Linked DNA regions of Canis lupus familiaris. The protein of the gene in region 2 interacts with the protein of the main gene of each other region in a pairwise test. Links are inferred from orthologs where the notes say so. Each region holds a gene or a part of one and is shown on either strand. Other genes may lie near its edges. The genes, in order: GPBP1 and FNDC11.

Region 1 (4,525 bases), on a different chromosome or scaffold from region 2:
AAACTCCCATTAGAAAGCAGCCTAAACTCACATTTATAAAATATAAACTGGCTAGCAAGACACATAAAATATGTTTTTTCCTTTTCCCAATCTGTGAAGCTATAAAAATTAAGATGAATAATGACCACAGGGATTTCATTTACTTCAGAAGCACAAAAAAGGTAACATAGGGACTGTTTGATCTGAAATATTCTTAACTCTTTCGGCATTTCAATCCACTTAATGGTAGTCTTCACACCGTTCAGGAAACTGAAGCCAAGCAGTATTATTCCAAGAAACTGAAAGGCTTCCAACATAGGATAAACTTGACTCTCATTACAGTTTACAAATGAGTATTTGTTTGCTCACCATGTAATACTTACAAATTCCAAAAGGACTGCACAGGAAGGTGTTGGGTTTTTCTCTGTAATCTTTATGTTTTCCAGTTTGTTTTTTTATTTTGTATCCTCTGAAATAATATCCAAGTTCTTTGAAGATACTTAACCTATGACTATTTGACATAGAGTTACTTCAAGTCAGCTACCCATACTTCTGTTTTAAAGTTTTCATATGGCTATCTCCAGAATTAGCCAAGTTCCTTGGATTTAAGATTTTAAAGTCTTCTTTATTATTCCATGTACTTGTCACTGTTGTATTTATCCACTCCAGATGAAATATCCAATTTATGAGCCAAAAAGCAAAAACAAAAAGAAAATTTCACATCTGAAGAGCATTCCTAAATATCAGCATATAGAGAGACATACAGCTATCTCAATACTACCACGCTGCTGGAAAACTGCAACATCTTAAATTTCCACGTAAATAAAAGATAAAATGAAAAAAACTCTGGATTCTTTCAATGTCTTCATTTAGAAAAGTTGTCCCATTGTGACATGAAAAGGGCTGAGGTCAAAATTTCCTAAAACTTTTAATAAAGGTAAAAATAAACTGCCATGAAACTTCAGCAATATTTAAACAGTAATTTGAAACTGCTGAAACTACTCAGTACACAAATCAAACATATCTTACAGTTTTGGGCTGAAGAACAACTACAGGAGAGGGGTGGGGGTTGGGGGGGGGAAGGGGAAAAAAACAAAAAACAAAAAACAAAAAACAAAACAAACAAAAAAAACCAGCTGAAATAATTTAACCAGTTATATAATCCGTTTGAACCAAAATACTGAAGAAATGCCTGGGTCTCTTTAAGTAGCTTGTAGAATTGTTCACTACTACAAATTGACTTCAGAGATGGTTCTTGCCACTTTTAATAAACTTCTGGGGCAAAATTATCCAAAAACATTGTAATCCCAAAATGGCCACTTCAAATATCCGGGGCCTTTTACACAAAACCTAGAAGATGATCTTCATATATGAGTAATTCGATCACCTGTAAAAGTCACACACACAAAAAAAACAAACAAACCTTAAATTACACAATGAATTTTAATTTTGAGCTAAAAATTAACCCCCACCTCCAAGAGTCAACTTCTGGAGAGAAATTCACTTCTACGAAATTATACTGGGGTCTGAAAGCAGCTTTGCCCAAGCAATCGCCCCCAAAACAGTCTGCTGTATGAAAAAGACTTTAGACGGAGAGGGAAAGGTAGGAGAGGCTATTACCGAGACCAGAAGTGAGCTCAACTGGGAAGGGGGTGCGGATATAATACAAGGAGATTATATAAACCTTCCTATAGTTTTCGAGTAAGATTTAAGACCATGAAACCGGCCCAGAATCTTATAAAAGACCACCTCTATTTTCAATTCTCTGGGCCCAGAGAAATGGAACAGGCAGGTGTGGGGCCAGGAGCATCAAATGCAACTTAAGAGAAAAGGGGCTACGAAGAGAGGACGCTCTCTCTGAGGCAGAATGCCTGAAAGGAGAGAGACCTTTCCCCGACTGAGGGTAGAAAGTAAGGAGGTGAGACGTGGGGCAGGAACATCGCTTCAGTTCGCCTGAGGGGGAGACTTGCCCGGCTCCCGAGGGCGGCTGTGGGGTCAGGGTGTCGGTCCCCGATTTCCTCGAATTAAGAAAACAGGTTTCCCCCGGCACCGAGGGGGCGGAAGGGGCCACGCCGTCCTCGGGAATCACAGGAGGAGCGGCGCTCCCCGCAAACACAAGCGGTCCCGTCAGGCCCCAAAGGACTCCGGGGACCTGGCAGCGGCGAGTCCGGGGCACCGCCACGGCCGCGGACCCGGCGAGGCGGAGCGCGCGGGCGCGCTACTGAGGAAACGCCGAAGGCCACAACTCGGCCTCGACTCCCCCGGCCCGCGGAGAGGAGCAGGAGTGCCACAGGAGGCGGGCGCGTGCGGAAGGCCGGGGGGAGAAGACCCGGCCGGGGGCGGCGGGCCCGCTCTCAGCCTCCGCCGAGCAGCCCCCAGCCGCCAAGCCTAAGCCGCCCACCCCCTCCCCACGGCCGCCGCCCCCACTCCGCCGGGGCCGAGTCGGTACCCGGAGGGGCGCCGCGGCGCCGGCCGGCCGTCTCTCTCCCTGCTCTCCGCCACCCCCCACGCCGCGTCCGCGGGCAGCCTCACACCTCGCGCCGCCAACGCCGCTCCCGACCCCCTCAAACCCCGACGCCGACAGGGGCGCCCCCCTTCGTCCCCCAGACTCCAGCGCGGAGCACCGGGGACGGCGTTACCTTCTGCCACACCAGAGGTGCCCCTGGCCTGGGGGTGCCGCTGCGCTCGATCCCGGGAGGAGGTTTTCGGTACTTTGAATAATCCCCTTTTGCCGCTTTTCCCTCCCCCACAACCAGTCTCAGTCCCAAAATGGCGCCGACCCGATCCGCAATGTTCTGGGTCAAGTCTCGCGAGATCGTGGAAGGTGGCGAGGCGGGGAAGGAACTAGAGGGGTTGAGGAGAAGGGAGGGGAAAGGCGGGGCGAGGAAAAGGAGGAGGGAGAAAGGGTGTGGAAGAAGCGGTGCGAACGAACCTACGGGGCGGGGCAGCAGGAGGAGCGCCTCCACCAGAGAACCTTCTGGCCCAAGCAACCGCTCACGCCCCGGCCGGAAAAGCTCCGCCCTCTACGTCGGGCGGCGGGGTGGGGGGAGGGGAACAGGGCGTGGCCACGTCTAGGGGCGGGGCGTCGAGGAAGCCCCGGAGGCAGGGGCGCGTGGGGGGCGGTGGCTCCGCGCAGTGACGTCAGGAGCAGCTGGAGTCGGGGATTACCCCCTGCTGCTGACGTGAGGACTGTGAACAATCGGGAACGTTCGGTGGAAGGGGGAATTCCCCGCCGCTCGCTCAGGAGCCCCCTCCCCTCCGCCCCTCCCCCGCCCGGAGCCGCGGGGAGCCTGGGATGGCGGGGCCTGCGGGAGGGTGAGAGGGGCAGGCTGAGCCGGGAGGCCGGCAGCCGCGCGAGCCGGAGTGGCGCGTGCCGCGGCGTGCAGGGATCCCTGCCTGGACGCTCGCAGCAGCCGCGGCGCGTTCGGCTCGCGGGCTCCGCGCTCGGGCCTGGGCGGAAGGCAGATCACATGCTCGCCGGCGCGCTGCCCTGCGCGGGCGGAGCGCTGGCCGCGCGGGCGCCGGGCTAATTGGCGCCCTGAAGCAGGGGATCCACCATGTTATGCAAATACGAGTGTGTCGGGCGTAAATGACACGTACGGGAGCCCGGGCTGCCGGGCGGAGACCGACTCGGTGGGAGCTGAGCTCGGATTCCCTTTGAGCCAAAAACGGCTGCTGGGTGTGATGGTGCTGATCATTTTTCTTCCTGCTAAGTCTGCAGGAGGTGAGAGCATTCTTATTCCACGGGGTCCCTGGCCCGCGCACCCCACACAGTTTTGGTTTTTTGTTTGCTTGTTTTTCAGTGGATTTCCTGGTAGTCATGGTTCTCAAATAGCGATGCTTTTTCGCTTTGTAACTCAAGGCTGTCTTTGAAACCTGTGAAGTTAGTTTTCTAAGAGGTAGAAAAGTAACCACATGTGCTTGGGGGGGGGGGGGGGGAGTGTCTCAAAGAGAGAAAATCCAGTAAACAAGAAGTCCTTGGCTCTCCGTACTCCCCCAGCCCACAAGGGCTTCGTGCGCAGAAACTTTATGGTCCTTTTCTTTTTTTTTTTTAAGATCTTATTTATTTATGAGAGAGAGAGAGGCAGAGACCCAGGCAGAGGGAGAAGCAGGCTCCACGCAGGGAGCCCGACGTGGGACTCGATCCTAGGTCTCCAGGATCACGCCCTGGGCCGAGGGCGGGCGCTGAACCGCTGAGCCACCCGGGGATTCCCTTTATGGTCCTTTTATATGCGTTATGGGGTTTGTATTTTAATGGACTGCTTCTAAACGCTCCCTGATAGGATGTTTGAATGCAAACTTAACAAAAATTACACCTCTCAATCTTTTGGTTCAGGCGCATTGGAGAGAGCTATTTGGGGCAAATAATACCTCGCCGAGAGCAAAGAAAGGAAAAGAGCATTTTCACAAGCTGGATGCCGCATCTGTGCCAGGCACTTCGTCCATACACCAGCTTAGGAAGTGGACGTTATTTGTAGCGTTTTGCAAATGAGGAAACTGGTTCAGGTTAAGTAACGTAGTTAAGGTTGCGCGACAGGGAAGCCGA
Region 2 (4,288 bases):
CGGGGCATTTCTGACAGTTGGGGACCCGCGCGCTCTGCAAACCACTCCTCTGCCAGTGGGGGAGACTATCCCTGTTCCTGGTCATCTTTTCCTGCCACACCTGCTCTCAGGGGCCCTTGCGACCCCGGAGACGGGCACGGCAGTGGAGGGGCGGTCTGCGGACGGCGGGTCCCCACAGCTCCCCACACAGGGCCGTCCTCCTGGACCTGGACGCAGGCAAGCCGCGGCAGCAGGACGTGTGCGCGGAGCCGAGCGGGCTGAGCACCCCGAGGTCGCGGGATCGAGCCGGAGGGCGAGGACAGGCTGTAGCGGCATCAGCGCGGGGCTGGCCGGTCGCCCGGGGCGTGGCAGCTGGCGCCGAGGGCCGCCACGCGGCAGCTGCACTGGCCTGTGTCTCGGGGAGGCCCGGGCCAGGCTGCCTTGCCCGGCCCTCACCGCCCCGGGGCAGGCGTGCGGATGAGCGTTAGCTCCTTCTGGGGAAAGACTTCACTTAACCCGGACTGTCCCCGTGAAGCTACAGGTCCCCGTGGGGAACCCTGGCCTGGGGCAGGACGGGAGGGGCTGGGCCACGGGGCTGAGGCCCCTGGAGAATCCCTCATGCTTGCTCGTGGCCGCAGGTCGCCGGGACTGCGGTTTCTTTCTCCCGGGACCGGCTACCCTGGAAGGTCCAGCCTGGGCCCGCACCGGGGAAAAGAGGGCGGGAGCCCGGGGCGCCTGGGGCAGAGTCTGAAGAAAACACTCGCGTGGCTGCTGCTGCCTCTAAAACGTAAGTAGGTTTGTTTCTTTGTGTGTGTGTGAGTTTATAGTCTTTATTAGTGGATAAATATTAGAAAATCATCTCTCAGAAAGTGTGGGCAGGGGCAGGCCCGGCTTGCCTAGCCGACTGGGGGCGCGCCCTTCGGGGGGCCCCGGCCTGGTGTGCAGGGTGAGGCTGTCCCGCCAGGGCTCGTACACCAGTGTGTAGCTCTCTGCTCTCTTGACGGTGAACTTGTAGGAGCGGTTGGGCAGCAGGTTGTGGATGTCGAAGGTGCAGGCGGCCACGGGGATGATGCCGCACTGCGTGCACTCCTGCTGTGTCCGTGGGTCCAGCAGCTTGAAGCGAAGCTCAAACTGCTCTGGTGCCGCTGGCTGGATGGTGACGAACCAGCGCAGGCTGACCCAGTCCTGGTGGGCCACCGACTCCTTTCGATCGAACACGACGGGCATCTTGGTGCTCAGCATGAGCCTGATGTGCGGGATCTTGGTGGCGCCGACGTCAGACACCAGGCGGTGCTTGATGTGCAGACGCCCGGGCACCATCAGGGCCAGGAAGCTGTCCACGACCGCCGACAGGTCGGCCAGCCGCTGCTCCACCAGGCCCCAGCCGGCCACAAAGGGCCGCGGGTCAGGCGACTCCAGCAGAGCGTCGAGCTCGGCGCGGCCGCGGTCCAGCTGCTCCAGCAGGTCCCCGAGCAGCAGGAGCTGGATCTTGGTCTGGGCGGTGCCCACCTTCTTCATGCGCTGGAACTTCCAGGGGTCGATGAGCTGGAACATGGTGCTGGGCAGCACCAGGGGGTTCTGGTCACCCAGGGCCAGGTGCTTGGGCAGGATCTCGATGTAGTAGGAACACTTCCTGAGCAGCTCCATGCGGGCGTGGTGGCGCTTGAGCAGCTGCGGGCTCAGCTCCGCCGTCAGGAACTCGCGCAGCGCCGCGCGGCGCTCCATGTAGGTCCGCCAAGCTGCCGGCGCCAGCAGCTGCTGCTCCTCCGCCTCCTCCGCCTCCTCCTGGTCCAGGAAGGACTGAGGACTGTCCAGCTTCATCTTGTCCAGGCCCAGGCCTGTCACCTGCAAGTTCATTGTCTGGGGGGGGGGGCGGGGGCTGTGAGCGGAAACAGCCCGCGGCCTCCGCCACCCGCGGGGGCTCACTCGGGTCAGTGTTTGTGTGCGGAGGGGGCGGCTCCGGGCCCGCTGCCCTCCATCCTGGGCCCCGGGGCCCGCCCCGCAGGAGCAGCTTATGGGGGAGCACGTCTCTCTGGGAAGGCGCTGCCGGAGGCAGGTGGCCAGGCTGCAGATCTGGGTAACACCGCCCGCTGGGGGGCAACCACTCGCTGAGGAGTCATTGTGATGACACAGGGAGGGGCGAGGCCAATGGGCTCTGGGGCAGCACCGAGCAGCTGTGGGGCCTGGCTGAGGCCTCAGGGTGCGCCCTGGGGACTGTTGAGAGGATTCGGTGTGATCCTGTCCGGGCAGCAGCAGACTCCCTGTGGGGGCCACCACCACCCTGTGGGCCTGCTACCCCTCCCTGTCACTGCAGGCCGGGGCAGGGGGCCAGGGCTCACCCAAACACAAGGCCAGCTGGTGCCTGGAGCCAGTGGAGGCGGCGGGGTGGCCGCTGGCCTCAGCTCCTGGTTACTGAGCCCCACTCTGTGCCTCGACGCCCCTCGGGGCGGGAAGATCCTGGTGCCCCATCTCATAATCGGGGTACCTGAAGCTAAAATGCCTTGTAGCTCCTCAGTTCAGGATCTGAGGCCAGCCGTCAACTCCAGGGCCTGACCCTCCTCCCGTGCCACCCCTGCCCCGGCTCCCAGCTCTAGGGGGCGGTGGGAGGGAGCTGGCTGGGGCAGGCGCAGGGGCGCCAGGACCCCCCCTGCAGGCTGCGCTCCTTGAAGGGCCAGCAGTCTGACGGCTGCCCTGGGCCCCAGCCGCCCCTCAGACGGGGAGACAGCCCCAGGTTCTGGGCCAGCCGCAGCCACCCAAGGCTTCGGTTAATCACAAAGAAAGTTGGCAGGAGCCCGGGGGTCAGCGGTTTAGCGCCTGCCTCCGGCCCAGGGCCTGATCCTAGAGCCCCGGGGTCAAGTCCCACATGGGGCTCCCTGCATGGGGCCTGCTTCTCCCTCCGATCGGCCTGTCTCTGCCTCTGTGTGTGTGTGTCTCATGAATGAATGAATAAAATCTTAAAAAAAAAAAAAAAAAGAGTTGGCAGGTTGAGTGACTTGCTGAGAGCGCCCCGAGCGGCAGGGCGGTGCCGACCCCAGTCTGGGCCCTCCCCAGAGGCCAGCCCTTCACCTTCCCGGGGAGAAGCCAGAGCAGGCCCTGGGCACCAGAGAGGGGGTCTGCGAGGCCGGGCCGGGCCGGGGGTGGCCGCCGCTGGGCCGCCCTGGGTCCCACTGCGCCCTCCCCGGTCGCCCCGCCGCCCCGCCCGCGCCCACTTGCCCTGCGTCCGGGAGCGAGGGCCGCCCGGGACCTGCTCCGCGCCGCGTCCTGCGGGTTGCCATGGCGACCGCGGCCTCTGTGCGCTCCGCCCACGGGGCGGGGGCGGGGCGGGGGCGGGGGCGGGGCGGGCGCCGCCGGGGTGTGGGGAGGGGGCGGCCCCGACTGGGCGACCGGCCGAGGTGTCCCGCAAGCCAAGCCCAAGTAGGCTCCCGCGGGGAGGAGTAAACTGAGGCTGGCCGCCCGCCTGCCCGGCCCTGTCCCGGCACCCGGTGAGAGGGGAGAGCTGGGCGGCGCCGGCGGGTGGTGACAACTGCCTGGGCGGGTACTCCCCATCCGGCTGGACACATGGGGCCGCCAGGGAGCCCCTTCCCTGAGCCGTGTCAGCGGCCTGGGGCCTCCCCGCAGAGGCCCCTCTCGGACACCCAGGCGCTATTGGCCTCCTTGGGGAGGATGGGGGTGGGCGTGCCCCCCGGGTACCCTGGCGGCCCCCCAGGATAGGGCACCTGTCTCCGAGCTCCCTGCCAGCCTGTTCTGCATGCAGGGACTCCCCCCAGCTGCACTGGCCCCTCGGGGTGACCCCCGGCGAGCGGTGGCGGGGCAGTCCAGGCCTGGCACAGAGGCTGCAGAGGTCAGCCCTGGGGGGCACGTGGATGCCATTTCTGCCCCGCTCAGTAGATGCTCACCCTTGGGTTTGGAAAGGGGGTGCTGTGTGAGGGCTGGGGGGAGGCGGCGCTGGAAAGCGGGGAGCCCGAGGAGGAAGCCACCCCAGGCTGCAGCCCACCCCAGAGAGCCGGAGACCCCTGCCCTCCTGGGCCAGGTCTTGGGCCTCTGCCCTCTCCTCGGCCCCACCCCCCCTTTTTTTTACTTAACTATAAAAACTTAAATTCTTGGTTTTGAGAGAATTGTAGATTCTCAGGCAGTTGGAAGAGAATGATGCTGGCCCAGTTCCCGGAGCGCAAACATCTTTGATGACACCTGGTTGTGCATGGGAGGAGACGCAGGACTGGCCCATCCCGCAGCCCCCCCCCCCACCTTCGGGGCCCTGGCAGGGGGGCAGTACCGGGCTCCCCTTAGGCTGGAGAGCCGTGAGGGTGGG

Evidence for each region.
Region 1: the proteins of FNDC11 (region 2) and GPBP1 interact in binary tests that used the Homo sapiens proteins (3 or more experiments, as listed by UniProt). The link is inferred for Canis lupus familiaris from reciprocal best matches to the Homo sapiens genes FNDC11 and GPBP1.

Annotation. Positions count from the first base shown.
Region 1 is NC_049223.1:43,424,239-43,428,763, reverse strand, and holds the start of GPBP1 (vasculin), read right to left. Parts: upstream 3,019-4,525; 5' UTR 2,912-3,018; intron 2,818-2,911; exon of another isoform or gene 2,619-2,817; intron 1,367-2,618; 5' UTR 363-1,366; exon of another isoform or gene 349-362; intron 1-348. UniProt on the Homo sapiens protein: Functions as a GC-rich promoter-specific transactivating transcription factor.
Region 2 is NC_049245.1:47,989,070-47,993,357, reverse strand, and holds FNDC11 (fibronectin type III domain-containing protein 11), read right to left. Parts: upstream 2,923-4,288; 5' UTR 2,454-2,922; coding exon 2,319-2,453; intron 1,840-2,318; coding exon 835-1,839; 3' UTR 790-834; downstream 1-789.